Linked DNA regions of Daphnia pulex. The protein of the gene in region 1 binds, or shares a complex with, the protein of each later gene. Links are inferred from orthologs where the notes say so. Each region holds a gene or a part of one and is shown on either strand. Other genes may lie near its edges.

Region 1 (10,005 bases):
TTGTTATGCTATTTTTCGTGCAGTAACACACTGTACGTTTCCATAAAAAAAATTAATCGCTACGTTTTTCTACATCTTCTATCTAATTATACTTCGTCTCTTTTTTGAAACTTTTAAACAAAACGTAAGCAGACGACACTAATCTTCTAATAATCTAATTTTGCATAATAAGATATCGATAGAAATTAAATCGACTCTCTCATCCCTAAATCCAAACGATCAAACCACTTAATCATAAAATCGGTTTTCTAATATCCTGTGAACGAATCGGGATTATTTTAGTGTCTTATAGTTGGTCTCATCAAGTTAAACTGAGCCCCTCTACCACAGTCTAAAATAAAAACCTCCACGAAGCCTTTTCTAATTTCACACTCCAATGCCGTTTCTTAATTGTCATCTTACTTTGTGCTAAGTTACAGTCTGGTAAGAGGTTTTTTGCTTATTTAGTTGTTCTTATTGTTTAGCCGACCGTACACGTATGACTGCTGGTGGCTTCGGCTACGATAACCAGATTTTTTTTTTTTCAGGATCGATCCTTCCGTGCGCTTCATCGAGTTAATACTCATTGACTGGGCTGTAAGTCAACGCCATCAACTGCTATAAATATGAGGACAGGACACAGTCCTAAAAGCTCCAGTTCTGAGCCCAGCAGCTTCGACAGGCGGAAGAATATCCAACATGAGGAAGCTGTTCTACAACAAAGAACGCGGAGTTACCGAAAAATTTGTTTTACTCAGCGTCTATTTCGCTCTTTTGCTGGACAATCTTCTACTGACGGCCGTAGGTTGGTAAAAGATCATTTAACATGTATTATCTGATATTAAGTTTCCCGCTCATATTTGAATCAATTTTGAAATCAGTGCCGATTCTCCCGCATTTTGTACACCGTGCTGAAAATGGACAGGAAGAAAACGGGACGCTTGTCAGCCCCGAGACTGGCAACGAAACATCGTCTAGCCTGTACAACTTATTGAAATCGTCTGCCCAGCACTTCCACATTGGCCGAGGCTACCAGCCTGAAATAGGCGATAATAGTCGACTGGGATTCCTGCTCTCTTTAAAAGCCATCGTGCAGCTGGCGGCTAATCCTTTGATAGCCGTCGTCAGCCAGAGACAAGGATTCGCTTTGCCTCTTCTCGTTGGCACCGTCAATTTAATCTTATGCGCTTTGCTCTTTGCCTTTGGTCGATCTTATGAGATCTTGTCGTCAGCTCGGGCTCTGCAAGGCATCACGTCCGCTTGTTTTACAATTGCTGGTCGTTTTAATTCAATTCCCTTTATGTACTATGTCTGGAACTGAATGCCAAATTTCTGTAGGCCTTGGGGTGGTAGCGTCAACTTACAGCGAAGAGACTAAACGAAGCGAAGCTCTTGGCCGAGTATCTGTCTACTAATTTTAAGTGTTTTTTAAAATTCTTATTTGACATTTATTGGTACAACCTAGGCTTTAGGTGGAGGAGCCGTTGGAGTCCTTCTAGGTTATCCAATCGCCGGGTTCTTATATCAGCTTACTGGAAAATCTGTACCATTTCTATTAATCGCCTTCTTGGCTGCCCTTCTGTTAGGTAAAAGTCATTTAAGGACATGGAATTTAGCCAACCTTAATAAAAATGGATTCGTAGTTGCTTTCTCGGTGACACTGCGCGTCTCTGATCATCAACAACAGAGGAATGAAGACGAATCCATAGAAGAAGACATTTGTTTTTCAGCGGAAAATTGTCCTAGCCGGAAACCTGTTGAACCTCCTCAGCAGTATGTCCATCATCGCCATTTGGTTCTTGGTGTTGTAGTTGGCGCAATATTTATTTCCACATCGGTCATGTCTCTTCTGGAACCGTGCTTGCCATTTTGGCTCATGAAGACTATGAAACCGGAAGTCAGAATTGATTTAATCTAAATAAGTTATTATTGCTCTTTCAATCCGACGACTATTTTCTATTACAGCGTTGGCAACTTGGAGCTGTTTTTATTCCCGACAGTTGCGGTTACTTGTTAACCACTCACTTCCTCGGTGGTTTAGCTTACCGTGTCGGTCGTTGGAAAGTGGCAATGCTCTCTATGATAATATTGGGTATCTCTTGCACTTTGGTAAACAATTTTGTTTTAATACTTAATTCAAATTCATTCCATGCGAAAATTTCATTTCATCATCCAGGTGCCTCTTGCTAGTTCCATCATCCATTTAACTGGTCCGCATTTCTGCATAGGTGCCGGGATAGGTGCTGTTGATGCGTCGCTAGTGCCTCTCTTGGCTACGTAAGTTTGGCCCATGTTATAACACCCATTCAATTTTGATCAATTAATGTTATCCTGTTAAAATACCAAGGCTGGCAGAAAATCGTCAACGTTTAGAAAAGATTGTCGATTTGTCCCCGTCGTACGGTAAAACCTTTGCTCTTGGACAAACAGCCGTTAGTTTAGCCTACTGTTTAGGTTAGTTGATTTCAATAGTTACATTTTTAAACTTACAAATGCGACAGACGAATAATTTGCTCCTACTGAACAGGTCCAATGTTAGGTGGAATGCTGGTGGAATCTTTGGGCTTTCCTCGCCTGATGCTTTGCATGGGTGTTTTGAATTTAGTCTTTGCTCCACTGGTCCTAATCCTTAAATCCGATGAACCTGAAAAAGTATCTGAGCTAACTGCTCTGACGTTATTCTCGTCTGATCACAGGGGATACAGTCGATTCGAAAATGAGGAACTCGAGAATGTAGATGAAAAACGTTAGAAAATTTGAAATCTGTATGAACGGTTTTTCTCATCAATTTGGACATTGTTATTAATACCGAGCGGTTTCGTCAAATATATATAAATAGACGTGTTTCGAATTATTATTACACTGGAATTTAAGACATGGTTAACTGTCTCTACGTCTTGAAAGTTCTTTTTGATAGTGTTAGATCTTGCAACCCGAACATGAAGGTGGATTTACTGAAATAGATGTCGACTGACGCTGGAATCTTCTAATAGCCGTCTCTCCATGCTGAATACCTGAGCCCAATTTATTGGGGTCAAGTTCACCTTTAAATATTAAAAACAATAACAGAAATTAATTTTGATTATAACACAAAATTTAGGATTTACATTACCCGTTTCAACTTTAGAAAGAATGGTCTTTGCACATTGCAGGAATGCCTCTTCAACATTTTCACCGGTTAACGCACTGGCTTCTAGGAACATTAGATCTAAATAAAAAGAAATCTTGAATTCGACAAATGTTTACAAACTATTACTTAAACGAATAACGATTTACCATTTTCTTGTGCAAACTGAGAGGCCTCTAGAAATGAAACTTGTCGATCTTCTTCTAAATCTCTTTTGTTCCCAACCAACAAAACAACCAAATTGGGATTTGCTAAATTTTGAGCGTCAGTAAGCCAATTCGAAACGGCGTTGTAACTTTCTCTCGAACTGATATCGTAGACCAAAAGCGCTCCAGCCGCTCCTCGATAATAGCTTTTTGTAACGGACCTCAATTATTACAAAAAAATTAGCATATTCAACTGATAGTATTCAACAAGAGACAATTGTGATACTTGAATCGTTCCTGTCCAGCCTGTAACACAAACAATGATTTAGCTATTAGGTAAACCGAATACAATTGAATATGCTATATTACAGTGTCCCATATTTGCAACTTCACTTGTTTTCCTCCTATTGTGACAATCTTTGAACCAAATTCCACGCCAATGGTATGGCTGCTGTCTTGCTTGACTGTGAACCAAGAGAAAATGTAAACAGGGAATTCTTAATAAATATGCATTAATAATGAATTATGTTGTTGCAAAAAAAAGTCCTGTTAGACAAGCTGTAAAAGCAACTGCAAATTTACAGTACGAAACGAACAATCTACCTTTCATATACAAGACAATTTCATTTGTTGTGTAACTATCTACAAACTATCTACACATTTGAAATTTTACAATACAAAAAAAAAATAAAAGCATGGCTTACATTTTTTCTCAATGAAATGGTGTAATAAGCAGGATTTTCCTGTGCCTGCACTGCCAATGACAAGAAATTTGAAAAGGAATTCTGAATAAGATAAAAGTAGAATTGATTAGCATTGTGAATTTTTGAACAATAAAAAAATGGGTTGACGTTTGTCTAATGAACAACAAGTAAACAAGAAAATACTACCGAAATTTTCAGCCATCCTTGGGCATACAATTACGGAGAAAGGCTATATTATCAATAAACCGATGTAAAGGGTCTCAGTCTCAAGTATCAGTAAGAAACTGTCAAAACCAGAAATCAACTAACAGGATGTAGCTTTGTGATTGCAAGGAAAGTGATTGGCTATATGAGTTCATGAAGTCTAACAAGTTAGTTAGCAGACGTTTTTTCTCGGCTCAAAAAACAACTTGGTCATTAGCGCCACCTTTTGTATGTTGTATTCAATAGAAAATAAATTAATTTTTTGTAAATTTACCTGTATTCCTGAAGAAATTTTACATAAAAGTTTTACAAAAAGTGTAGCTTTAATTAAATTACAACAAATTGACCGTATTATTTTGCAACAAGCTTGAAATTGATCTATACGGAAGTAAATGTTGAGAATTCATCAGCAGTTCCACTTCTATTTCACCCCTGATAAAATCAAATAAGAATTTTGAATACAATGTGAAGAAAAAATTATTTGAATTCAATATAAACACTTACTCGCTAGTGCCATCGCTCACAAGAACTGAGGGGGCATCATCCTTAACGCATACGAAAACGTAGCTATCTCGGTTTGGAGTTGTAATGAATTTTTGGGTGTTGATTTCTCTCATGTTTGTAGGCATGTGTCTGAGTCCAAGAGTTTTTAGGTGGGTTTCTGTGTTGGAGTTTAGTCTGTCAAAAAACAAACAATATGGTTGTTAGAGGAACTTAACAAAAATAACTGGTAATACTATACTCTTGTGCAAATTTTAATTCATCTTCTGTAAGCAAACTTGGTTCATTTCGTTGTCTTTTGTTTTCATTGTTCAACAAGTAGCCAAGGAATTTTTCTATTTTCTCCAGACGTATTCTTAGGTATGATGTAACTACATAGCGTATTCTTTCAACCTAACATATGTTTTACAAATATATTAGTAAAGGGGGAAGGGCATAATCTTGATTTAGTAGTTCATACTTCCATTCGATGCAAAGCAAATCGAAAATCTGATTTAGAAATGGCCATCAGATTCTCTTCCATGTTCTTTGTCTGCTCTAAAAGACAGTCAACTAGCTCAGTCTGTGGAGATAATAATTCTGGGGCGAGCATTTCATTGAGCCAGCTCTTGACATACAATAATACAGAGGAATGTCAACATCAAACAGGACATTTTTGGCACGTCTAATCATTCCAAACCTCTTCGAGTTTCTTGACGGCTTCAGAAGCAGATAAGAATTCGGCGTCTTCGGTCTCTGATATAGTATCCGCTGTTCCGAAAAGATCACTTAGTTGCGTTAGATTTCCGGAATAGGAAGCCATTATTATTCTTATTCAATCGTAAACGAAATTTTACCACAAGCCGACTGCTATTTGACAGGAGAGGCCTCACAAAACAACGTTTCCCGCCAAAAACAAAAACATCGTTGCATGACTCGGCTAATGAAGCCAGAGCTCAAATGTTCTATTTTTTCCTTGGATTATTGTTCCGTTCTAAACGGGTTTGTTCTTCAAACATTTGCAAAGCAAACCTGGCCCTCTTTGAAAAAATATATCAGTTTAAGCTAAGCGTGTCAATCGACAACAAACAAAACAAGTCGTTTCTGCCATTTGGTTAAGTGCTGGCTCATCGACTTTAAGAATACATTATGCAAATGCAAGCGAGCGGAAACCATGTATATTTTTAGTTACATCTTATATTCTAAGAAAAGATGTTGTGATTTGGCCAAGTTTGTACCGGGCGGACGGTAGTGCCTTAAGGTAGAGCAAGGTAAACAATAGTAAGGCAAACCATCACGGTATACTCGACATTTTGTTCAACTTGAATTTTTTTGCGTTGGCGTTTCGCATTTCCTTCAACTCCTGTTCCATCACAGTTATCGGTGGAATTGGACGGCGAAAAAAGAGAGAACGTTAAAAATGAGGACAAGATTTCGAAATCGAAAGAAGATGGTTTGTTCCTACGTGGCATCCGTGTTCGCGAATACGCAACATCCTTGTAAAAATAAGCAATCTAGTGCTATTATTAGATTACGAAATGTACAGAGATCGCACGACGAGTATTTATTATTTACAAGAAAAGACATCCCTTTTGCGTGGTCTGCTGTACAAACCGTAGGTATATGTACGTATAATTACGTATCTGGCGGCAGGTGGTTAACTAAACAGAGCGGACGTTGAGTGACGAACTGCACATGGACCGTTTCCAGACGATCATTGAAATTGCTGCACTCGGGTCTAAATAAAACCGTCACATAAGGAACTCTAGTTTTCATTTACGCCAACTGTAGCACAAAATGCTACAGTAAGAGAATTAAGGGGTAGTAGTATAGACGGAGAAAACAAAACAAGCTTTTCGGGTTGTCGTGACGTGTTGAGCGCCAAGAAAAAACTAAAAAGAACTAGCGAGGCCGTATTCAAGAGACCGGCTCAAGCATAGCGGGCGTTCAGTCTGTAAGGATCTGGCTAGCGGAGCTGGCTCGATCACTTAAAGCTCCTTCTTTTAGTCCACGAGCAATAAAAACTGCATATCGTTTCGAAAAGCAAAGTTCCGCAGTTCGCACAGTGTGGGGGAATCGACGTCGATTTCTTATTGGGAATATCAACAGCTAGCTACCACAACACATTTATTATCGAGAGGTGAAAACAAAAAAGAAAGTCGATTTCCGGAGTGCGCGCGCTGGCGAATTACATTCAATCTCCTTGTCGCCCGCAAGCAGCCGATATGCGCTGGGAGATAATGCAGTGGTAAATCACAAAATTTTTATCTTCAATATTTTATTTAATTGCTTTTGGTCAGTTCCCATTCACGGAAACAGCTCAAAAAGTCGTTGACCGGATTTCGTATGAAATTATAAATCGATTTAGACTACATATCGATAGCTTAGCATCATCGATTTTATGCGTTACCCAACCCCTTCCAACAAATTTTGTTTCGTCTGCTCTGCTCAGCCGCAGTCCGAATGTGTCGACAAATATGGCGTTCAACTGTTCTATAGATTTCTGCCAAACTACTGGTAAGAAAAGCTGAAATAGATTTGTTTTGGCTAACTAATAAGGTTTTCTTTTCCTCGAGGAAAGTCCCGTGTGATTGAGCAATTTGAGCTTGTTGGAGAAAAATCGATTTAGGCAACGATCTGGTCTGTGTATACGTGCTTTGTTGGAGGGCGAACTACTGGGGTTTTCTATCATTGACTGATTTTTTTGTCTGGGGTATGACGGCTGGTCTCAAGTGGGTATGGCCGGGATTATCCCATTATTCATTCATGTTGGTAGGAAAAGTGTTTGGAAGTTAGTGAAGTGAACGTAACCAGCAGATCCAACCTAAATTTTGTTACATTTCCAGGTTAACATAATTGTGGATTGAGCAGAGTCAAGTGGGTGATGGAGTATTGCGTTTTCTCACTTTCCAGTAGACAATGTCTCCCTTCCCAGCGCAGTTGCCCTTGTTCAGCAAGAAAAACAAAGGGGTGTCGAGTGATAGCAGGATTCAATCAGTCTCAAAGAGCTAGTGAATTTGAGTCAGTAAGGAAGGTGGAGCATTGGGCAAAAAGTGGCAGAGACAGTATCTGTCTCGGCGGTACGATCTCGTCGACTAAAAATAGGAACGGTGGTGTGGCTTTTTATGTGTGTATACATCTTCGGACTTCCCCAACTAGACTATATTGCACGTATAGGAATCGCTCGCAAACACACCTTGAATCCTACGTTTCGCCACTGTTCTGATCGATCCAAACATCCCAAACAGAACCAGTTTGCCTGGGCCGTTTTTCTCTGTCTCTCCTTCTTTTTTCCCCCGTTGAAAAGGTCGCGCTTGTACACACATTTCAAGGTTGAATATTATAGGAAGTTGAGTCGACAAAGTTAGCCACTGAAAATCTCTGGTCGAAGCTGGAATTGGCGCTCGTCTCTTTCAAATGATGTATTTATACCAACAGGACTCTATCTAATTCAAACTGTGTGTGTGTGTGTGTGTTTGCTTGCTTGCGTGAGTGCGTGCGTGTTGTTGGCTATATGCCCGTTGAGCAGCAGCAAACATGAACGTCTCGTTTTCTCTTTTGTCGTGATTGTTTGTTGAAGCTGATGACCGCGATCTGAAAATATCTCTCGGGGCGGCCCCCTGTCTCTCGTCGTATTCTTCGGCTTTTTTATGCCCCCAGTCCACCTCTACCCCCCTTATTTTTCGGTGCTTTTCAGATGCTTTGATAGTTTTGAATGGCGTTTGCTAGAAGTAGAAAAGCGCCATTTTCTCGCATTCGTTTCCTTTTTCTCTCCATAGTAAAAATTCGGGCGACAACTGATTGTTGGTAACGCAGTTGTTTCGTTTGTTGTGTAGTGGTTATAAATCAGTCGCAGCTGGTTGGCTATAACGTTTTGACCGTTTCCCGGTGCAGTACGGTGGTACGGCGTGACAATGCTCCATTGTCTCATGTATTACGCTTGCCGCCCACACAGAACCGTCAGTAGTACGAGTCCCGTCTGCAACCCCCTGTTTTTCGGTGGGGGGTATGCCCGGCTTTTATTGGTTTCCCTTCACATTTTTTATGTTTTCTTGTTGTTGCTAGTTCGGCGGAACCCAGTCCCTGCTTAGACGTAGCGGCGCTAGCTGTTGACGAGGCGACAGTATCATCCGTCAGATCGGTCGCAGTTTCCGCCACAGGACTGGGCGGCATCAAAATCTCGGCATTCTCCCTCCTAGTCAACGGCTTTTCGCAGTCGAGCAGCAGCGGTTGCGTTCGTGCCGGTCGACGCCCAGCAGTCGCAGCCTCAACAACCTCAGCCGTACGTTTGCATAGCAGCAATAGCAGCTCGTCGAGTAGCAGCGACGACGACGACGCCGATCACAGCAGCGACGAGCGAAATAGCCAAAAGAGTCAAAGTGCCGCCAGTTTGGTGGAAACGCGCAAACCCAAGAGACCAAATCTCCTGCAACTTCCATGTGTAGCACGCCCTGCTAAGCAAACCAACGGACACATCACCATGGCCACGGAAGACCTACTCCAACCCGGACATGTTGTCAAAGAGCGCTGGAAAGTGGTACGTTATTTTTTCTTCTCTCCTACTTTTATTTTTTACGATTTTCCTATCGACGTTGGGTAAGCAAAAACAGGAAGAAAAAGAAACAAAATATATACATGCCGGCCATTTAAAACGATTTCTACACTGCTGTGTGCTCGGTTTAAGCTCCCAATCTTTGAAGCCTTTCCAGAACAAGAACCACCCAATTGATCATCCAACTCAATTTGCATGTAGTTTGACTTGCAGAAGGGGAAAAGGGGCTTCGACTTGGGGGTTGAAAGACGCAGTTACTTTTTTTGGGTTGTCGTTTTGGGCCGACCTTCCGGTCTCGATTCTGCATAATTAAGGGAACGGGACAGTGAGAGGAGGACAGTTTTACCAACAGCACGTGGCTTTCGTCGCCACCACCAACGTCCTGTGGCTAGTCACACAGTCAGTTAAAATAAATTGGGAACACTCCCGTCTAACCCTCGTCCAATCCAGACAGCTGTCCGGGGGTAGTAGTGCTGCGCCTACATTGACGCACGGTGATGAACTCGATCTACGAGGTTCCCTAAAAAGACGTCAACGTGTTTGTTTAGCGCATGCAAAAATATAAAAGAAATAACATTTGCCAAACCCCCCCGCCCACTCCGGTCGAGCTTTTTGCTGGCATTGTTGTTTTTCAAAATGAAAAACGATTGCGAAACGAGGAAAAGACGTTTCGACTGTCGAACTTGACCCAGTTTTTGGCAAATCAGTTTTGGCGACTCTTCGCAGACTCTTTTGCGAGCCGTTTTCCTAATTTCAGCTCCTTTGTGCGTGTGTGTGTGTGGGTCTCTCTCTGCTAATGAGGTCACACGGGCA
Region 2 (10,610 bases), about 2.9 Mb from region 1:
GTTGTTTGAGATCTCCAACATCGAATTCGTCGGCAGCTTCAAACAATGACTGGGCTTTGATTTGGTTGATGGAGGACGAAACTTTGCCAGAGTAGATAAAGTGGAGAACGTCTTTGAAAATCTCGAAGCGGATGTGGTGGATCCTGATCTTGCCCTGACCGCCCTGACGATTCGCTTGTTGTATCATAGCAGCGAGCACTAGGCTTCTGGCCGTCAGAATGATGGCGTGTCCGCCCACGCATTGGCCGTTATCAAACTGAAACTCCACATCACAGTTGGTTTGACGAACGTACAAGTTTGTAAACTGCTTCAATGCATTCGTTTCACTTTTACTCGGGGCCTTTGTTGTCATCTCGTTAAACTTGATCCAAATACGACAAGTAATCTCCTGGTCGTAAATCGCCGTGGAACTGTACATCAACTTAAAAACCGATACACGTCATCAGCCATATAAAGTCTAAAACACGACACAAACAAAGACAGACAAAAAACAAGAAATATTTACCGATTGCCATGTGCACCACTTTTCGTTCATCTTGTTTGTCGCCATTTGAATGCTTCCTTCGTCAATGCTGACCCCTACAGCTTCAGGTAAAGCACTGCAAGGTTGACTCGTTTCTTCGTCGATTTCATTGCCTCCAGGAGTAATCAGTTTCAAAATGAAATGAAAACGTAAAGCTTTCTGTGCATTGTTACTAGAATCGTCTTCTTCAAACTGTTCTAAACGAAGCTGAACTGCATTCGCAGCATCACAGTGAACACGTTCAAGTTTGAACCAAGAGGAACGGACTCCCCGGTCATTTGTGGCCTCTGAATCCGAGACCACAGTCTTCCACACAATTTGCGTTTCACCGTCGTTCAGTTTCTTTACATTTATCGACATTCTTTTCTCTGATATTTGCACAAAAATGACTTTTACTTTTGACTACTTTTACTTTTGTCAATTTGATTATCTTGATCGTACTTAATGTTCAAACTCATTAACCATTAACGACACTTCCACCCTTGAGCTGAGTTTAAAGTGGACTGAAATTTGGAGCAGACGACATTGCCAATTTTGACCTTGAAAATGGCCGATTTTTTCGAAATGTCTGAAATGCGTTATTCGTTATCAGTAATATCCCGTAATAATTGAAAACTCAAACAAAATTGTTGATCAAACGAAAAAATACTACAGCAGTTTATTGAGAAATTGTTTTTTATCTTTTAGTCATCCATTAAAGTAAACTGCCATACATAAATACGTCCAACCCACGTTATGATAATCATTTACACTGAAAAACATTCCAAATGCACGCTAGATCAAATAAACGACATGCTGTTGATGATGACGAGATGACTTTTGGAGCTAGTCGTATCCTTGGCTGTGTACTAAAGAGAGATAATAAGCATGAAAACGTACAAAAAGTGGATTACCTTGGGGAACAAAGGTATTAACCTGGAAAGATCGTAGTAACATTCGGCATTGTTATGGGGTTCATCCGTTTTATCGTTTGGTGTTTGATGGGAAACTTTGCGAGATCGGAGAACAAGGGAACATGAAAAAGCCTCTGGAGACGTTTGCCCGTTCTATTACTTGGGGGATGAGGAACCAAATATAAAGTGGATGGCGTCGGCGCCGTTGTGGAATGGAAATGTCTAGAAAATTGAATTCGTGGCTTGGTGCACTGTTGCTCTGCTTAAAAAGTATTGAACCAAAAAGTTTAACGTATTTTACTAACACTTAGCCCTCCCAAAAGTTCCGACACCAAATATCCATTACTGTATGGAATATCCTCTCTGTTTTGAATATATTGAAACTTCATTTCAAGTTTGCCAAGTTACCACATCAATGATCAAACTTTTCACGGTCGTTTACGTAATGCCGTTTCATGCCCTAGATAACAGTCTCTGAAATCTTTTTGTTCGTTTATTGATTAATTAGTGATGAATTATTAGTATCGAAATAGTAAACAGAAGGAAAGGTGACACCAAATCATTCGGATAAGGGAAATTAGATGAGAAAGATAATATCGTCTGCTACCATGATTTGATTGGCCTCCGTCATCCTTTCGAATGCTGCCCGAGTTTCATGAGACTGGAAAGGCTCGGCCGAATGTTTCTCGACCAGGTAAGCGCGGAAACGGCTGGAAGGCAGCGACTGGGCACGCGATTCGCGGAATAATTGGGTCAACGACTTTTTGAACAAATTGTAACGCTCATCGCTAATAGAAGCGGGAGTCTCATCTTCATGGACGGTCGTATCCATCGGGACAGAGTCCGTTTCCAAAGAGGAACCTTGAGATGCCGTCGTGTCTTGTGTTGACTTTTTGGCGCGTTTGGTGGTGGTGCCACTGGACGTCGGTTGGCTGCTGGTAGCGTCGAATTCGTACGGATCTTCCTGAGTGGTTCGAGTGCGCTTCCTTTTTTTCTGCGACTCGGCAGTAGACACGGTCGTTTCGTCGACATCTTCTTCCGGTTCCTATGTTCGCCAAATCGTGTTACATTCAGACTCGAGACTAAATGGATTACTGTTAAATTACCTCCTCCTCTTCGGTATCGACTTCATCATCCTCTTCGCCGTCGTCTTCAACCTTCTTCTTCTTACGCTGCTTCTCAAGAACTCGCTTGAAGTAAGCGAATTGGACGAGCTCAATGGCCGAATGCGCGTCATCAGCATCGATGACTTTTGATAGACGTGCACGGGCGTGAGCCGTGGAGAGACGGATCAGCGTCTCGAGCGCACGAGCCGTTACCGGTTGGGTGCGCGCCACATCTGGATTTTCAACTTCGTGAGACCGGAGACGCGAATATTCTTCAGCGATGGCGTCAGCTGCTTCTTGCGACAATGTTGGCTGAGATTTGTCAAGTTTAAATATCATGAGAACTTTGCCAAATGTCACAAAGAATAACGAACCAACCTTAAGGGCGCGGGCGACGTGAATGTACTTCTTCATGAACTGCATGCTAACGACTTTGTCCGTTTTCAAACGGCTTGAACCGTGGAGAAGAGCGTCGTACTTTTCATAAAGCGGCGTCTCCTGGACGGTAGACTCATTCTCGTCCGGATTCCTGGTCGATAGCATGTCCAAATTCATGGCCAATGGGAGCGGTTCCCCATCCTGTTCCGTTGACGCACGGTAGCGATGCATTCGGACAACATGGTCGGCGATTCGACGGTCCTGCTCAACATCCACCAGATCCAGCACGATGAACAACAAGTCGAAACGAGACAGTAGTGAATCCTGCAGAAAAGCAGTCAACCGTTATCGATCATCTGCTCCAAAACAATTATAGAAAACCTATTAAAAGAACCTGCAAGCCAATGTTTTCCATGGGTGTTTTGTATTGGTCATAGCGACCGTACACTGGATTGGCGGCTGCCAGGACAGAGCAACGAGCGTTCAGTCGAGCATGGATGCCTGCCTTTGCAATGGTTACCTGAAGGAAAGAAACAAAACAAAAACAATTGACTGAGTTTTCATCTAATATTAAAAGGATGGGCGAGACGAAAAAAATCGATCGACAAAAGTAAACTTTTTTGCTTGAGTGGAGGTAAGCTGGATTGGATCGATTTCAATAAATACTAGGAATGGAGGGAAACGAAATTCGTGGTACGGACTATTAAATATTTGATTGAAAGCAGAATAGCATGGGAACTCAATTAACTAGTGGGCGCACGCGGCCGGTGGACATCAAATTACCATTTTCAAAGCGATCATGGCAAAACGAAGTTAGTTTTCTATTTCTAGAAAAAATGTACACGTCTAATAAAGCAAGTGGGAAATTTGATGCATTGCGGAATTTTTGAACTAAATTATTTCTAATATTTCAAGTAAGTTTTGGTTCAAAAGTAATAAAAGAATTATGTCAGGCGAAACGTAACGCAGCAGTGAAATATTTACCGATCCTTGTTCCATGACTTCGTGGATGGCAGTTCGATCGATGTCGGACATTTTGTCAAATTCGTCGATACAAACAACTCCGCGATCAGCCAAAACCATGGCGCCAGCTTCCAATCGTCGCTCACCAGATTCAGGATCGTTGGTCACTGCAGCAGTTAAACCGACGCCGGATGAACCACGGCCTTTCAAAGAAAATCAGATTTATGAAACGGTAAAGATCGATAGGGCGGGAGAAAGGCAACCAGTGTAAGATGATACCTGTTGTAGCAACGGCTCTCGGCGCCGTGAAGAGGACGTAACGAAGAAGTTGAGATTTGGCAACACTAGGATCGCCAATTAGTAGAATGTTGATGTCACCACGAAGGCGAGTACCGTTGGGCAAAACCTTTTCTAGACCGCCGAGCAACATGCAAAGAAGGGCACGTTTGATGTATTCGTGCCCGTGGATGGAAGGCGCCAGAGATTTGGCCAAGAGCTGGAAGACGTCAATTGATTTCATCCGAGAGAATTTTTTACATTTTCGGACATCATCACTAGTGATGAAGATGGAAGCCTCTTTGCTGAGGGGGACAATGTTGCAAGCTAAGAGGATCGTCCTGTAAGATCAAAGACGAAATGTTATATCAAAGTTTTGGGAAATAATAATTCTGAGAAGACGCGTTACTTGAAGGCACCTGATGTGAATCCTCCTTGTTTTCCTGGTAACGAGCGGAAAGTGCCAATAACTTGGATACGATCGCCAGGTTTGCATCGATCCACCAAGTCGTTATCACAAATAATGTCCACCGCACGAGGCAGTTGTCCTTTAATGAGCAAGGTCAAAAGAACGTGTTAGAAAAGGGGTTATAATTTACGCTCCAAAAAATTTGTATCTACCGGCAGGAGCTTTTTCTGGCATTTCTTGGATCGTTAACGTTTGATGGTCTCTATAAGTAGACAGTCCATACTCTGTCTCTAGCAAATTGCCATCTTCGTCCTAAATTATTCAAAGACAGACATGAGTTCGTAATTATTGTAGACTTTTAAATTTCATTTTCATAAGTCATCCCGTAATTTATTCTATTTTTTTTTAAAGTTAACTAAAAATAACGACCTGTGTACTTTCATACGCCATCTGAGGATGCTAGATACAACTAGACTGAACTTCGAAATCTTTCCTTTCTTTCCTTCAAAAGTTCTATTTTTACTACCACAAGATAAATTACCTTGGTTGGATAGACGGAACTTGAAGGGAATGCATCAAAACTAGTCAAATCGGTGTAACGCCGTTCGATAGTTTTCTTTGTTGCAGGACAATAATGCACGCTGCGAACGATCTTCGGTCGAACCAGAGAACCTAACATTTTAATTAAATTAATTAAATCAATTAATTTATCTTAAGACTTTAAAGAAATTGGATTCTTACACTTTGTGACAATCCCTTCAACACAGACTAAATTTCCAATGAATCGTGAAGTGAGACTTCTTGGAGTGACATGCTTTGCTCCAAAACTTCCCTCGAAACCAAGAAAAAACTCGTCATGCTCCTTTGCATAGCTTGAATCAATACCTCCAACAAACTCTGCTAAAGCTTTCTGGAACGCCAATTGCTCTTCAAAAGCATTTGTAAGCAGGCTGCATGAAAAGAAAGGTGAGTGTTTCTACAAAACTTTGTTAAGTGTTTATTTTACCCATTGGCTCTAGCAGCATTGACACGGCGAAGATCATTGATGTTGACAACCAACCTAGTTTGTTTGTTACTCACCATATCCTTCACAAGTTGAGTATAAATTCCATCTCGATTCTGCAAAGCAAAAAAGTTAATAATAACCACCTATTGAATTGTTAGTTCAAATCAACAGGTCCCTACGTAGTCGTCGAGAAATTCAGCGTATTCACGTTGAATGTCTCGGATGCGTTGATCGACATCTCCTGCAGACATTTTCGAATAACCAGTGGAAAGCAAAGTAAAATTAATCTAAAATAGCAAATTCAGTGAAAACACTGAAAAAATCTCGATCGCAGACTTGAAAAGTTGAAAACAAGTGTGACCGACTACAAGCACAGCAGACAACGAATCTACACAATGAAACTAAAGCGCCAACTCCCGCCAAAATACGCCATCTAGTGACATGACAGTATAGGCTGGCGGGCGATTTGAAATGAAATTCAAATTCGGAAAAATATTTTGTGAAAAATATTAAATAAACGAAATAATAGTATTGGGAGTAAAACAGGCTAATACGCCCAAGTGTATTATAGACGATACAGTTTTCCCCCTTGCGATGATACAATCGGGTAAATTATGCAAGGGCGAGACGTGGACGCATGATTTTTACGACAGAAATAGGTGGATAGGGAAGAAAAAAAAAGTAGAGCTATGTTTATGAGGACTACACATGATAACATTATTCTCACTGATGATTGCCCCACATAAGACAGCACAAATTATTCCATTCTCTGGGGTTATCTCTACAAAAGCGGAAAAGTCGTATGTAATCTTTTCTTTGTTTTTTTCTTTTAGATTCAATTCCAGGCGCAACAAATATTCTGTGTTTTCAACTGAGATTGATCCGAGGAGTTGAAGAAAGGAGAACAAGAGAGGGAGACGCATCTTTCTTCCTCGAATTTAGATATGCCCAAAAAGAGATGTGTTCGTTAAAGTTTTTCTCATTTGAAATCAAAATGTCCCGACTTTTTTCCTATAAGTTTCTCAACTGTAATAAGCTGAGGGGTGGGGGGTAGTAAAGATTATGTTTTTATATGATGGAAGTAAAGCTGACTGGAACTTTCAGAACGGGACGTGAATGGGACCTCTATGTTGTTGATTTTTGGATTCCTATCTGACTTGGAATGTCGGTGAAAGAAAACAGAAACATCAGGAAATAAGCCCAGATCCAACCCAAGAGCTCGAATTATCTAGAAAGTTTTTTGAACGGATTCAGTTGAGAAAGTTTTTGGGCAGAAGTTTGTCTTTTGTCACCAGGGTTTTGAACAATAATTTCTTTCCCCCTTTAAATCCCATATCTTTGTTTTTCTTTTTAAAACAAAAGCAAAAAAAAAAAAAATCCCGTAGTGAAATGAAAGCGTAAGACCTACCAAAACTAAATAATAAAGAGGCACAATTTAGAAGAAAAAAAAATTGGACGAAAAAAAATTGCAAAGGAAAGAAAAGTCACCACGCGCAACATAAAAGTTAAATCGTTACACACTCACACACATTGGAGGTAAATGGCGCGGAGGGAATATGATGCAGTAGAGGTAAAAGTAAACCCAAAATCATATTTTTGTTTTTCAAAAGAAGCCGTCGGAGGGATCGGGAACGTGAGCGGAGAAAAAGGATTGTTTTTTTTGAAGCGGCGAGGACGGGTAGTACAGAGTGGGAGAAATGGTTAAAAAATAAAGGGGAGACTTGATCAGATATGTCAACGGTATTCTGACTCGCCTAAAAATTGTTGAATGCTTTTCCTGATTTTTCACTTATTTAGCAATTAGTAGCCGAGAGACAGATTCGGCGCATTTTTCTTTTGTTTATAAAGCAGCTACAGGTACACGGGGAACATAACTCGGGAGACAAAAGAGCGGCAGGCGACAAAGAGGGAAACCAAAGCCAATCTAAAGAGTGTGAGATGAGGACGTGAAGAGAGACACACAAATTAGGGAAGAAGAAGAAGAAGAAAGAATTGATATTTCTCACGCTTGCCGAGAAACGATATGGCTATTATTGTCCGCTCGAAGGAATTCCCGACCTCCCGTCCAAAAAGAAAGAAATTTAAGAAGAGCAACACACGCACACACAACTAATTAACTACACGATACTTATTTCACTATCCAATCAAAAGGAAAACCAAGACAAGTTAAGAAGGATATTCTTTTTTGTTGTTTAAGGAGAGAGGGCCAAACTTGATTGTAGGGTTGTAGTATATAGTATTACATCGCCAGCAAACTCTTTCAGGCTGACGTCGAGGTGCGGTGGGTGGGATATTATTATTTTCTTATCCTCGTCAACTCCTGCCCGGACGTTTTTTTAAGAGCTGCCCGAATGTTGCGTTGGGACCGCCCCTTCGCCACAACAAAATACACATGTACACTCACGCACACACACATAATTATTATTTTTTTTTAGCTTTTTTTTCTTGAGGAAGATGGTCGATGTCGGTGTGAGAAAGAATTATTTACGGGGGCAAGGATAATTTTGTCATGGCGAAATGGCCTTCCCAGCAGATTCTAAATGCACACACTACTCTCTCTCTCTTTTGCTTTTTTTCGATTGAAAACGTTTTTTTTTTTGAACGAACGCTGAAAGACGTTTGTAGCGCGGGAGGAGGGGCGATGATGTTTTGTTTTTTTTTGGTATTTTTTTTTTAGATTTTTTTCGAAATTGATTACAACTGTATCGAAGAACAAAGATAATAAAGGTGGTTCTCTATCCTAGGTAAATTTTTTTGTCCGGAAAAAAAAAGAAAAGAAACAAGTTTGACTTTTTGTTATTAACGCGCGCCGTTAGTTCGATTTCAGATGTCCTCTCAACCTCTTAGGGGGGAAACGAATGAAATGCTTTTAAACGCGAGAAAGAAAAGAAAAAACTGGGAGCGGTGTTGAGAGAGAGAGGGGGGGGGGACAGTGGATTGTTAAACAAACAGATCGGTAACGAAAAGAATTGTCAATTTGATTTTGTCGTTTTTCTTTGAAGTAGATACGGTCGAGGTCGGGATAAGGGGAAATGCTGATTGGGCAATTTCACGATTTGCTTGGTCCGTACTACATCCACATGCTGAAGGGAGGGGGAAATGCAATTGTAGTTGAGAGCTACTAAATTATCTCTAACCCTTTCTCACACCGCTCTTCCCGTTACTTCGTGTTCAGAGATGATTTCAAGGGATAGGGGGGAACAAATTCAAGTGTTTTTTAAATTGCCACAAGGGAATTAAACATTTTAAGTGCAAAGTCTCGTTTAAAACCCCACCGCAGTATGTGTTTCGACTCCCGCCATAAGCGTGAAAAATATAATGAAAGACTTGACGGCCGTGGACAAATTATTCTTTTGCGCCGGGGATGGCTCTGTTAAAAGGGACGTGTGAAATGCTCCTCCTTGCACGACAGATCAGAGATGTGGTGGTGATGATGGTTGGTGACATGAAATATGTGTTGGATATTGTGCTCGCAAGCTGACCTTCCAAACTAGCTAGAGAAAAACAGCGTCAAGTCTCGTGGAAATACAACAACCCCACACTCCTACTCCATCCTGATCCGCATCCGATATACACGTGATGACCAAGAGACAACTTACTGGGGAGGGAGGAAAAACTTCACGATGACTTTTAAGCAAAGTACATGACTTTCTTGGTATCCGCGTGAACAGTGATAGCACGAGCCATGGCGCCTGGCGTGCGATCTTCGCTGCTGCCACTTTGATGCGAACCTTCTCCACTGTTTCAATAGAAATAGAAAATTTTAGTCATTTTCTAGGCGTTGATTTAACGTTCAAAGAAATGTACCTGGTGTAACTCTTAATGCAATCCTGTAGCGATCCTTCCCCACTGCAAATATTGGAAATCAATAAAGGATTAATAAAGTCTTGTTGCCAACCACCGTCATTTAAATATTACCTGTCGTGCTCCTTCTCCACTAAGTGGTATCTGGCACGGAAAGCCACCAGATGGGCGTAGTAAGCCGGCGCCGGAATGGAGACGGAACGAGTACAGCGCACATAAGTATGACAAAGCTGGTAAGTTAAGCACTGCAATTCGTCAGCGTCAAAGTGGTTGTCATCCCACAAAACGTGATAGTGGCTAGGACGGCTAGTACCCTGTACATAAAGAAAAATACATTAAATATCAAACCACTGAATAAATATTAAGGAAATAAATTGTCTCACCTGAATGCCTTGATGCGAGCACAAGTAAAAGTCGAACTCGGTTGGGTGTGTAATGCCCGCGTCGACAGTGGTACCGGCGGGAATGTTTCCAGATTTGCCAGATTGCTCTTTCTTGTCAGCACAGAAGAGCCTGGTGTGATGGCGCTTCTGAACCACGATGAACGTGATACCTGGTTTGTAGTCAGGTTCCAATTTTATGCATGCCTCGCGGATAGCGGTCAACTCATGTTGCAAAACCTACAGAAAACGTGTCGTTTATTCGAACGTATTTCTTTTTTAGAAAGCCAAAGTTAGTTTAGTCTAGTAGAATGTTGCTTACGGTGCTAAACTGGCCTTCACTGGCGCCATCGCGATACATGATAATTCGGTTGGGTTTGAACCTTGTAGTTTTGTAGAACAAGATCAATAATTCCCTGGGAAAAAAAAGGAAAGTTCATCAGCCTCAAAAACACATGAAACTCAATATGCGGATTATCAAAATGTCAAATTTCTTACCGGACCATAGCACTGAGCTCTTGAATAACTTCTTGGCGGTGTTGTTGGACGCGAACAGTTGCAGCGTATCTCGAAGGATGAGCATCCATCGAGCCCACAACGGCTGCGATCGACGGCTTTTTGTTGTCACCAGCTGGAGGATGAGTTATATCGGCCCCAAGGAAAATGACAGGCTCATTGAACACCTAAGAAAACAACACACATGAGCATTTTCGTGTGAAAAGTAGTTGATTTACGTTTTACCTTAGGACGAATGGTAGGAACAAGGATACTGTTAACACCACCAAGTTTAACGTTGATCTTCAGACACAAATTGGACAGAGTTTGAGGCGATGTTTTGTTGACATTCTTTGCTTGTACGCACTGTGTGGCCA
Region 3 (10,894 bases), on another chromosome or scaffold:
GTCATCATGAAGTTGAGAACTTCCTGATTGCGTTCCCAAATGGCGCCAGCGATCAGCTGTTGCAGCTCGAGGAAAGTGGGCTGAACGCGGAACAGGGTAGAGACGGCGGCGATACGGATCTCGGTGGTCTCGGTGGCATTGAGGATCAGGGGGAGAACAGCAGACAAGAACTTGTTGCGGTTAACTGCGGCGATGGGCTGCAGAGCGAAGATGACGTGAGGGCGGACGGCGTGAGGAACGGAGCCGCTCTTGACGTGAGGAATAAGACGCTCAATGGCAGGGAGCAAGTTGGTGTTGCGCAGAGTGCTCAAGGCAACGATCATCTCGGGGTGGGTCTTTGCCGACTTGAAGGCTTCATAGGACATGCGGGTGTACTTGTTGATGGTATCGGTCTTGCAGGGACGCAGTTTGTTGCCACCGCAGGTGACGCCAACCAAATGACCGAAAGCCAAAGCGATGGCTCCTCTCAATTCCCTAATTTTTTTTACAATTCAAACATTTAGAGAAATCATTTAAACAAAGGTATTTAAACGTCAATCCTACTTGGTCTTGATGCTGGGGCTCTCCTTCAAGAGATCCTCCCAGGAGGTCAACAATTTCTCAGATGGCATGCGCAAGTAATAGGGGAGGAAAGCAACCATACGACGAGCTTCCATTTCACTGAGTTTGCCACCCAGAACCAATTCCTTGATCAACAAAGCAGCAGGGTTGGTGCCAGTAAGTGGGATCATCTCGGTGAACAAGTTCCTAAACAAAAAAATCAACATCAGCATCAAATGAATTTGAAAATCTAATTTCATGAAAATTACTTGAGCTCCTCGTCGCTTTCAACATTTTTCCAGACAGCTTTCAAACTTTCCAAGCTCATTGCCTGGAAAAGTTGGAGGGCGGCCATAGCGGTGGGATCCAAAAGAGTTTCATCATCAAGGGCTGATGATCCAATGACTTCCTTCAGCTTAGTCAAAGTGGGAACAGCCTGAAGAATCACAATTTTTCAATTAAACAGTGCAACATTTTAATAGATAAATTATTAATCGCTTACCTTAGCACGGAGAGCTTGTTGGGATTGGGGTTCCTCGGGGTGCAAGAAATCTTCTTCACGAGCCAAGTCGATATCCTCGGGTGTGGGGATAGGGCGCTTGAGGGTGTAACGAAGGCTGCCATAGTGTTTGGTCAGGCCAGAAGCGGAGATGGGCTTGGCAATGGGGCCGGATGACTTGAGAACCAAAGTAGTGCTATGTAACAGAACAAATAAACACAAACATTAAGATTATTTAAGAAGATAACACAAGAAAACGACTTGATGATACTTGGCCAAGTTGTAGAAAGGAGAGCCTGCAGGTGGGTGCCATTGGAGAACCTGGTAACCGAAAGATGAGATGATGTGGGCCTTGGCAGTGTTGCTGCTTGATCCACGGCTAAGCTGGTAGTAAAGCTGAGTGGTGGCGACGAGCTCATCCTGTGATTTACCAGCACAGTTGGTGGCTCCGAAGCTGTTATGACCCAAACGAGGAACGTTGGTGCATTCGCTCTGAGTGCGTTGCTTAATCAGCATCAAGCGACCCTTTTCGGAACCTCCGAACGAGTAGGTAGTGTTACAGGTACCGACGACAGTGTCCTGATTTTATGCACAATCAAATTCATTTGTTAATGTTTTTTATTTAAATGGACAACTTTTTTTCTTTACCTCGACAGTACGCAAGAAAGCAGTGTCGCCCTTGCCGATTTCTCCGGCAACGACGTCCATTTGCAACTTGGTAGCCAAACCCTTCTTGATGTTGATGGACCATTCGGCATCTGAAGCGTCAGCATCGAATCCGGTAATCTGAAAATAACATGATGTTACATTTTTGACAATTCATAAAAAAATTGTCAGTTGACGATTTACCTTTCCATTGAGGAAAGAAATTTTGAAGGGTTTCTCCAACAAAACCAACTCGGGCTTCTTCAAGAACTTGACAGTCGACAGAAGAGTGTCGGGGCCATTGTGCATACCTAAGGTCACATCTGAAAGCTATTGAACAACACAAATTGTTAAATAAGACAATCTATTTTGAGACAGAGAAAATGTTTAAAAATAATATCTACCTTGACGATGGCTTCTCCGGCTTGTTTCTGGATGAGCAAGTTGCCGCGGATGCCGAAAGAGGAGCCAGATGGAGTGGGATCACGAACGCCGGTTGTAGTGAAAGTAAGGTAACTGTACTGGTATTCTTGACCATCCTCAAACAAACCTGAATAGAAGTTGACGCAAACCGTTAGTTTCAACTAAATGAATAAAACTAAATTTTGTGTGAAATAAAACCAAGTTGAGTCTTTACCTTCCGCACGGCAGCTGCCGGCGACGAGAAGAAGAGCGAGGGCCAACAGGCTCAGACGTGCCATCGTGTATGTAAGCGTCCTGGAGGATCACTGGCGACAGCGACTTGAACTGGTTCAACATTCGTCCTTATATACTAGTGACTTGCTGTGGGATCCCGTCTTCTTTTTTGGGTTGGAAATCTTTGCATGGAAACAGCGTAGGCTCCGAGCTGATTGGTTTTCACAGTCTCGCATGGTGGTGCGATTCTTCGAAGACCAATAACTCAAGCAATGACATCCACCTAAACTCCCTCAATCCCCCCCCCCCCACCACTCCCTCTTCTCCCGCAGTCGGACAGATGGAACAACCGATCCCAAAACCTAGTTCATGGGAGGCAAAACGGGAGATGATAGTGACACTACCGAAATAAAGAACACATTTTGTATTTACTTGCATTTCGGCCATGTGCAGATCTCCTGACCTATTCCTACTCCCACTCCTCCCCCTATCCCCCCCACTGGCTCCTAAGTAAAATAATCTTATCAAGCTAAGCTCGTGGGTGTACTTAAATCCAGTGCTTTCGTTGTGACTGGCCAAATGTTGACATTTGACTTTGTGGCCAATTGACTGACGGCTCACATTGGAAGGAAAAAACGAGGAATCAGCACTATTGGCGGAAATCTCTTTTCAAACAAGGTACAAGGTCTCCAAAAGACACAAAGAAGAAAATACTCTTCAAGGTTAGGTGATAATCTCACTGCTGAGATGGTAAACTTGAGGGAACCAAGTAAACAAAATTTGAATGGCCCATTTAGTTGAAAATTGAACGAAGTGATTTTGCTCTGCTTTAAAGTCAACGAACAAATATATAATTTCACGATTTTGCAATCACAGGCTATTTCAGAGACGACATTTCTTTGCCATACTGAACTGATTTAATTACGTATTATCGCACGCAATGACCCCACAAGCACTCCCACGACTGGCTTGTTGAATCCTTGGACCGTGAACAGACTGAAAAAAGTTGTGATTATATAAAACCTTAAATTTCTAGCTCTTATTTTTACGTTATCGGACCACTTTTTGAATGTTGAATTCAAGCTAATGCGCAATCGATAAAAATTGCAATTAACTCTGATCAAACAAGAATTCAGTTATGGTCATAACTTGCGTTAATATCCCCTTCCAGAGTCAACGTCACATAACATTCGTCCAAATCATTGTTTTACTATCTATTCATTGCATTCGGCAATAAGTTCACATTTTATATGGTACCATTATGAGATCAGTCGTAAGATAACATGATTTGGCAAGATTTGATTTCTTGACAGACTTGTTATTCAACTGGACTGTAGAGTGAGCATGATTTAAAAACACACTTATTCGACGTTTTAAAAATGAGAAGAGATCTATCTCTTAGTTAAAGTAAAAACATCCATCTTGAAAGCGGATCTCGCTAGCGGATGGCGGGAGTTGTGATGAGCAAAACAGATCGAGGCTCGTCCGGTCAAGACCACAATCACTCAAACTTTCCTTACCGAATGCAGAAGTGGCGGCGGTCGAACTTTGGAATGATGCGAAGGGCTTGGTGCTGGATAGCGTAGTCCAGACAGCCGTGAAATCGCTGCTTTGCAGCAGTTTCATTAGCGATACCATCGAGTGGGGTAGGATCGGACCCTGAACTTCGATGGAGTAGAGATTTTCTCCGTCTTGCTTCAGAAAACCTTGTCGGGCCTTGGGTAGAAAAACAATATTGTGAAATGGTAGATTTCGAAATGCTTTGACACTCGGTTACCTTGAGGGGTCGGAGTGTGGCCTGATGGAAAGCGACGGGACTGAATAGAGTTGGAGGAATTCCAGTCAATGGGCCAGTGCTGGACAGACACAGTTTGCTGTTTAGAAGCCAGTTGAACAGTCCCTGCGTCTCAACACCTTCGATCAAAAGGAGCGAGTCCGCATAGGTGCCTTGGCTTGTTCCTTGCCCTCCATCCTGCAACCTTTCAGCCTCCCTACGAAAATGTTAACGACATTTGAATTTATGTTGAAAATCTGCAAATCATTAATTAGTCTCACAATTTTGATCTGAGATTTGAATGCAGGCCGATATCGTTGATCCAGTCAGCATCATCTTCGTCACAATCTTCGTCATCAAGATCGCCAACTTTGTCAGCTTCTTTGGTTTCATCATCTTCATCATTATTCACAGGGTTCGTTTGATCTTGACCACTTTTCTTCAACGGCATCGAGTATGAGATATCTATATTAAAATATCAAGATGAAAATGAAATTCTAGACACTTTCAAAAGTTTCTTCTTGTTTTTGTTTTCTTGTACTCGAATCGGAAACCACGATCGTAATACGATCTCCGGATGGTAACTGATACGTTCCAAGAAATCAAGTTTTATAAAGTCTTCTAGTACTTTCTACGAATTTTCTCTCTAGAAATCTCATTCAATTATGGAATATTCTTGATTCAAAGTTTTGCATAGTAAAAAGAAGAATAAAAAAGCAAACGTAATAGCAAACTAACGCTAAGAAAAAAAAAGAAAAAATGGATGTGTCATTCAATCCTGGCACACATGTGATTGATTTTATCCAATGAACTAAATATCGCTGTCCTTAATACCTTCTCGTCGCAAAACTTCTCGCATCCCACGCGTGGTAGGGGTTAATAGAGCATGGATTTCTGCAACTCCTCCTATTCCAGCAGCTCGAAAGAGAACGGTGAATTGATGAGTACAGACATAGAAGAATGGGCATTGCCTCGCGCGCAATAGTCCGAAAAGAGAGCGAAAGCTTTCACACCAGTCGTTGATCAGGCAATTTGACACGCTCGAGTCCATGCCGATTTGGACAGAGCTGGTGGAAGTGATAGGGGCTCGTGTGTCCCGAGGGAATAAAGATAACCAAGGCAGCCAAGGATATTGCCACAACAAGCAGCATTGATGAAATTGCGCATTTGTTGACGTGTCCAACGTGCTCCACTCGTCGGATTTGAGAGAGCTGACGCATCTCACGAAACCTGTGATTCCAGAAGCCTCCTCGGACGTCTGCGACGAAAAGCTGAATCATAAAATCTGGTATTTTTGTTGCTTGATATAGATAAACATACTTTGAGAGTAGAGCTGAAGGCAAAAGGTGATTTGGAGGTGAAGCGTACCCTGGTCTTTAAGGACCAATCAACAGGACACTGATCAACTTTCTGGCAAACAGGTGTTACTGCAGTGAATATTGACAGAGCTTGCGGTAGTTCCACAGCCAACTCTTTATTGGTATCAGCTTTTACATTGGGGGCATTTAACATGCTCATGAAATCTACATTGGCACTTGCATTTCTCTGGTCATCTTGAGTGACTGTAAGAAGTTTTGGCCTCTTGGCTGGGGAGCGTCTGTCAAGATGTGCAACAGTTAGACATTTTTTGACGAGAAAATACCATCATTTTACACTATACCTGAAAGGATTCTTTCTCTTTACAGAGGCAGTTGCTGACGAGGACGATGTGGGGGCCAAGGCTTCGTCATTATCTAAATTATTTGTTGCTGTCGTGGTGGATGCATGACTGAATCGTGCTTGGAGGGCTTTTTTCTTATCCCTCATCTGCCTCATAACTTCGTCAGGCTTTTTCCAAACAGACCCTGACATCTTTATTTAGTTTATTACCACAGATTTATAAGACTATTATTCAACACTTGATTGATATCTTGTCGGACGTTTCGTTCTACGAGTTGTGGACAAGAATTGAACACGAGCGCCATTTCTTCTGCTAAGTTCAGTCATCTGACGAAAGGCGGCTTCAAGCATTTTCAAAATCACCAAATAAAAATTTAATTAAAAGCAGCGGAAGCTTTAAGATATGATAGGAGACTGAAATAAATTAAAATAAATTTTTTTATGCGTTTTTACTTTTTAGTATTTCAATGGTTTGGGCGATGCGTATTTCATATCGGAATCTTATCCCCTAATAGCAGACAACTTCCCGTTGGAAATGATTTCACGTTTCATGACAAACACGAAAGTACGAGGCCTTAACGTTAAAAAAAGTTTAAGTTAAACTCGTGGTATTCCTTTGTCTCTGCTCAGCTCAGATCCAAAAGTATCTGAAAACCATATTCTGTGTCTGTATGCCTATACACTTTTGATATCCTGTTTAAAATTGAATTGAATGCATTTCTTTGTGTTTCCTAGGAGGTCATATGGATCTTTGAAGTCTTGTAAACGTATTACAAGTTTTTTTTTCGTAAGAAAAGGACAACGTCGAATTAATCGAAGGCTTTTCAATATCGTTTAATACTATGGACGAATCTGATTATAACAATGAGACTGGATGGTAAATCTGCTTTCCCATGCTTTCTATACAAACAATGTCAGTGATTCCTTACCATCAGTCACAGGAGAAAACGTCAACTCAGTGATGGTGATCCGGATGCATGTGACTTCATGCCACTGTCTAAAAGAATCAACAACCTGCATTTAAATGGTAGTAATTTGAACTCGGAAACCACACCATCATACACTGTAAGTTTTCTAGGTCATGGAGTACAATCATTGGCTAAATTCATATTCTGTGTTGTTTGCTTTAGCCTACTGGATCTTCCATCTGTGAATGCCGTCTGCAACCAAGCACTTCCAGCAGTGTGATACAATGTTCCTTGTGCAACCCCAATCTCTATGGGATCACTCGGCAAGCACTTCCTCTTCCAGACCTGCTGAACATTCCCAATGAAATGTCACGTGAAAGAACTCCCCAGCATCAACAGTTTATTCACGATGACACCTATTCACCAGACATGGATGTTCACTCCAACCCTCACTACTACACGCCCAACAAGCTGCTGTTTGATTTGCACATTGAGCGTGTCAAGAGGCACGGTATACTATTCAAGCCCAACAAGTACGACGGCTAGAAGATGTCAGTACTAATAATGTAACAATAATGTTTCGCTCTTTTCTGTTTCGTTTTTTTTTAAATCTCAATTTTATGAAATCACTTCATCTTCGCTAGTCGATTAATACACGAAATTATATTTCAGACTGAGAAGCGATATATCTTACAAATTGTGACACGTATATTTCAGCTGTCTCCTTGCTAATCGGCAATACACACATGAATAATTGGATGGAAAACAAATGACACGGGTACGTGCATTCACGTTCACTGTGAGAAATGAGTGTAAGGAGGATACCTTTTCGACATTGACTTTTTTACCAAAAAAGATCATCTTGCAGATACGGGGAAAAGTATAACATAAGAGGGGTATAAGTGAGGACAGGTGTGGCACACTAGGAAAGTACAATGGCGAAGTTTGCGTCCACAGGCGCTTTCAATTCAACAAAGACAAAACAAAAACCAAACGAAAAATTCTTGCAAACTTTTCTTCGCTGTGTTTTTTTGCAACAGAAATGGACAAAAAGCAAAAAAAAAAAGAGTATTATTATGCCAACGCTCTCGAAAAAAAGAAAAAACATCGTAAGTAACGCATGTGTGTGTGTGATTTCCAATTTTGGTCCCTGAATGTTTTCTTTTAAGTCCAGCTTCTTCTTCATTTCTTGCTTCTATATTTTTTTGCAATACATCAATGGAAGCTTTCCATGTATATAATAGGTGTGTGTGTGTGTGCTAGACTAGCAGTACTTCTTTTTCTGTATAAGGATTATTTCAATTTCACTTGTCGGCCAAGTTTCTAATCGACAAATGTCCCCCAACCCGACCCGAAGTTTAGCCGCCTCAAACGTTTGTGGTTTGTCCCTTTCTCTCCTTATCGGCACTAGTGTTATGAACATGACATTAAAAAACACAGGTAAATAACACAAAAATGAATCAACTGTTCAAAGAGATTATTGGACAGAATAGAAAAAAAAAAGAAAAACATATTTAGTCACTTTTGAATACTGTGAGGCCACCGACCACCGATCCTGCGGAAGGTTTGTTTGCTTTTACAGGCGTAAGAAAAACTCTCAATGCAGATGCGCCAAAACGCTCTGATGCTGCTGAATGTTGATGGTGGAATTGTTGTCATTGTTCTGTTGCCCTGCTTTCCCTGGCTGCTGGCCAAGCTCCTGCTTAATCCTCTTGGCCATATGGGAGTGAATGTGCTTGGTCAGGTGATCCTTGCGATTGAAACCTTTACCACATTCAGGACAACGGTGCACTTTATCAGTTCGATGAATAATCGAATGCCTTTGTAAGTGTTCCTGAGTAATAGGAAACAACATTCGTAATGTTTAAAAACAAATCCTGAGGTTATTAATAAAAGAAAAGTTTTAAAAACAAAAAAAGGGAGGAAAAACTCACGATTCGTTTGAATGTCTTGCTACATACAGGGCACGGGTGTGGGCGTTCAGTCATGTGCGAAGACCTATGTCTATCTAAATGTTCTTTACGTTTCAGAGCTGCACCGCAGTCGTTGCAGATGAACGGTCTCTCCGATCGGTGTATCGTGAGGTGAGTCTCGATGGCTTCCCGATTGTTGAAGACCGTGTGGCACTGAGGACATCCATAGAGCGTCGTTCCATCCAGAGCTGTCGTCAGCGCTGGCTGCAAACTCGTGCTCCTCCTCCTAGGCATAGGCACTCCAGGGATAGGATCACGTCTCTTTTTCTTCTTTTTGGCTTTCTTGGGGACCTGCAAAAGTTGAACGAGAGATGGTGAGGTGTGTGAAGACAGTTAGTTGTGAAAGTGTGACATTGTCATTACCTGAGACTGTTGCTGCTCAGGTGTTTGAACCGATGGGGAGTTGTCATTCATCATGTTCTGCTGCTGATCATCAGTCTGAGTGACGTGGATGAGCTCAGTGGGGTATTTGTACATCTGCTGGAAAGGGAATGTGGGTGGTCCAGAGAACCGGGACAGGTATTCATTTAAACTACTAATGTCCTGTTGGGCACTTTTATCTTGGTGGTGTTGCTGGTGAAACCTTTCGTTTTCCTCCGCCTCTGTTTCCACTTTTACAAACACATCATTCTGGCCAGTTTTGCTCAATAACGTATTGAGCATCTGGTTCTGGATCTGGAGGGTGCTGGACGTTGGAACATGGACATGCCCGTTGAGGTTGTGATGATTCAGTTGTGATGGGTCCACTGTGCTGACGGCTATCTGCAGGCCCTGGGACGATGGTATTGAAACAAACCCCTGGTCCTGGGCCTGCTGGAATTTCCCAACAGCGAAATGTGGGATCGTTGCCAACGTCGTCGGGAAGCCGCCAAACGGGGTGAAGCTCATCGTAAAACAATGAGCTCTCTATATACTGCACTCACAAGAGCCAAACAATGTTACGCATCGGTTTTTAAAATGGACATAACAAGAGACACACAATCTACCAATTTCTAGCAAAGCACTACTCAAAATCTCTGTCTACAGGTCAGCTTGACATACTATGCGTGGCAATCGTGGTTTTTGATCTCAAACAACTTGTCGATCTTGATCCCAGTTTCTTGTTGAAGAACAGATTTGCTTTTATTTCTCTCTCTCTCTCTCTTTAGTCTTTTTTCCAAACACCGTCAGGCGGGAGAGGGGGATCTCTCCTAAACTACAACGGGCGGCAAAAATGCTTTTCGACGAGACACTAGCGCCACCGTTGTACAACAATGGCGTCATCCGGCATCAACAAATTTCACAATCTTTTTCATTTTCACACGTTAATCCATCGTTTGACACGCGTTCTTCCTCTTGTTATCGAATTTGGCTCACGCAAACCGAAACGTTTTCACAATCAATCGCCATTTTTCGTTTGGCAAATCGGTGAATTTGGACACCTATTGTACGAATGGCGGGAGTTTCAAGCCGTCGACCGCCATGATGATATGTCCCCCTCTGCACGCCAAAATGACAATTTTTTCGTTTGAATTTTGTCTACGCCCCTCTGATTTATCTGGATAAAAAAATGAAGAAAAAGAGGCGAGACACATTTTGATTTAGTTATTAAAACCACCGTCATAAACTTCATTTTATTTCCTTAATGTGGTCAGGCACAGATGAATGTTGAATTATTTATTTTGTAATAAAAATAATAATTAAAAAAAAAAAAAATTGGGGATAAAAAAAAAACAAGCAACGGCAGCACGCACTAGTAAATAGAATTTGTTTTAAAAAAAGAGAAGCCAAATAAAACAATCCAAAAATCGTATAAAAATTAGTTTCGCAAATACACAAGTTAGTTTTGATACATTTTGTTTCTCTGTTGATATCAAATAATGAAATAATAATAAGCCACGTATCGATCTTGATTTCAGTGTTTTCCTTTTTCTTCGTTGGTAATCAAAAAAATACTTTTTTAGGATGTCCAGATTTGACATTGGGAAGGGGGGGGGGGGTAAATGAAAAGAAAAAATAAGAAATTCAGAAAATTGAAAATTTGTCAAATGATTGAAAAGGAAGAGATGATAACAACAAAGCCTCATCCCACACGGCGCATCAAAGGAAGATTTAAAAAGAGGAAAAAAATTCAGAATGAAATGTTGTTGGCTCTCGTAGTGGTGGTGCCAGGGGCTTTAAGCGAGGAAGCCTTGGTAGGTTTCAGGTAAGACTTAGCGTCGGTTGAGCTGCTGCGCAGTGAAGAAGAAGAAGAAGAAGAAGAAGAGGACGGGGAAGGCGG

The links. The genes of interacting proteins can lie anywhere in the genome.
Region 2: DNA replication complex GINS protein SLD5-like (region 1) and zygotic DNA replication licensing factor mcm3-like share a complex: the UniProt entries of both Homo sapiens proteins name them as parts of the CMG helicase complex. The link is inferred for Daphnia pulex from reciprocal best matches to the Homo sapiens genes GINS4 and MCM3.
Region 3: the proteins of DNA replication complex GINS protein SLD5-like (region 1) and protein downstream neighbor of son homolog are in contact, whole or in part, in a cryo-EM structure (PDB 8Q6O), measured with the Xenopus laevis proteins. The link is inferred for Daphnia pulex from reciprocal best matches to the Homo sapiens genes GINS4 and DONSON. Residues at the interface, in NP_001084702.1 of Xenopus laevis: Leu19, Thr20, Pro21, Cys51, Glu54, Gln55, His58, Asn62, Arg65, Ala66, Lys67, Lys72, His76, Asn179, Leu181, Pro184, Thr186, Asp187, Glu188, Tyr192; in XP_041437004.1 of Xenopus laevis: Tyr8, Ser9, Pro10, Ser11, Phe12, Lys13, Pro15, Ser16, Ile18, Leu19, Ser22, Thr167, Arg168, Arg245, Arg469, Val471, Glu488, Thr490, Tyr518, Thr519.

The regions. Positions count from the first base shown.
Region 1 is NC_060022.1:2,231,159-2,241,163, reverse strand, and holds DNA replication complex GINS protein SLD5-like, read right to left. Parts: upstream 5,999-10,005; 5' UTR 5,464-5,998; coding exon 5,341-5,463; intron 5,269-5,340; coding exon 5,122-5,268; intron 5,055-5,121; coding exon 4,903-5,054; intron 4,839-4,902; coding exon 4,665-4,838; intron 4,593-4,664; coding exon 4,493-4,592; 3' UTR 4,421-4,492; downstream 1-4,420. Other genes in the region: synaptic vesicular amine transporter-like, read left to right, coding at 679-784, 861-1,256, 1,318-1,379, 1,445-1,876, 1,945-2,088, 2,156-2,256, 2,327-2,433, 2,507-2,730; ras-related protein Rab-4B-like, read right to left, coding at 2,899-3,023, 3,092-3,187, 3,256-3,473, 3,539-3,558, 3,622-3,716, 3,957-4,037, 4,143-4,158; tau-tubulin kinase homolog Asator-like, read left to right, coding at 7,042-7,157, 8,706-9,177. UniProt on the Homo sapiens protein: Required for correct functioning of the GINS complex, a complex that plays an essential role in the initiation of DNA replication, and progression of DNA replication forks.
Region 2 is NC_060022.1:5,177,649-5,188,258, forward strand, and holds zygotic DNA replication licensing factor mcm3-like, read right to left. Parts: upstream 5,946-10,610; 5' UTR 5,806-5,945; coding exon 5,734-5,805; intron 5,668-5,733; coding exon 5,555-5,667; intron 5,499-5,554; coding exon 5,290-5,498; intron 5,221-5,289; coding exon 5,090-5,220; intron 4,861-5,089; coding exon 4,761-4,860; intron 4,688-4,760; coding exon 4,549-4,687; intron 4,481-4,548; coding exon 4,143-4,480; intron 4,067-4,142; coding exon 3,885-4,066; intron 3,421-3,884; coding exon 3,295-3,420; intron 3,225-3,294; coding exon 2,523-3,224; intron 2,462-2,522; coding exon 1,994-2,461; 3' UTR 1,897-1,993; downstream 1-1,896. Other genes in the region: ARMADILLO BTB ARABIDOPSIS PROTEIN 1-like, read right to left, coding at 1-421, 506-883; protein argonaute-2-like, read right to left, coding at 9,185-9,293, 9,362-9,403, 9,473-9,672, 9,742-9,978, 10,061-10,154, 10,237-10,421, 10,480-10,610. UniProt on the Homo sapiens protein: Acts as a component of the MCM2-7 complex (MCM complex) which is the replicative helicase essential for 'once per cell cycle' DNA replication initiation and elongation in eukaryotic cells.
Region 3 is NC_060027.1:2,496,277-2,507,170, forward strand, and holds protein downstream neighbor of son homolog, read right to left. Parts: upstream 5,946-10,894; coding exon 5,755-5,945; intron 5,692-5,754; coding exon 5,415-5,691; intron 5,383-5,414; exon of another isoform or gene 5,353-5,382; coding exon 4,929-5,352; intron 4,560-4,928; coding exon 4,376-4,559; exon of another isoform or gene 4,375-4,375; intron 4,312-4,374; coding exon 4,098-4,311; intron 4,037-4,097; coding exon 3,719-4,036; 3' UTR 3,520-3,718; downstream 1-3,519. Other genes in the region: vitellogenin-2-like, read right to left, coding at 1-474, 544-747, 810-976, 1,043-1,235, 1,311-1,618, 1,688-1,825, 1,889-2,014, 2,089-2,234 and 1 more; uncharacterized protein LOC124208003, read left to right, coding at 6,596-6,630, 6,689-6,818, 6,884-7,207; zinc finger protein 431-like, read right to left, coding at 8,259-8,495, 8,596-8,925, 8,998-9,522; endochitinase A-like, read right to left, coding at 10,745-10,894. UniProt on the Homo sapiens protein: Replisome component that maintains genome stability by protecting stalled or damaged replication forks.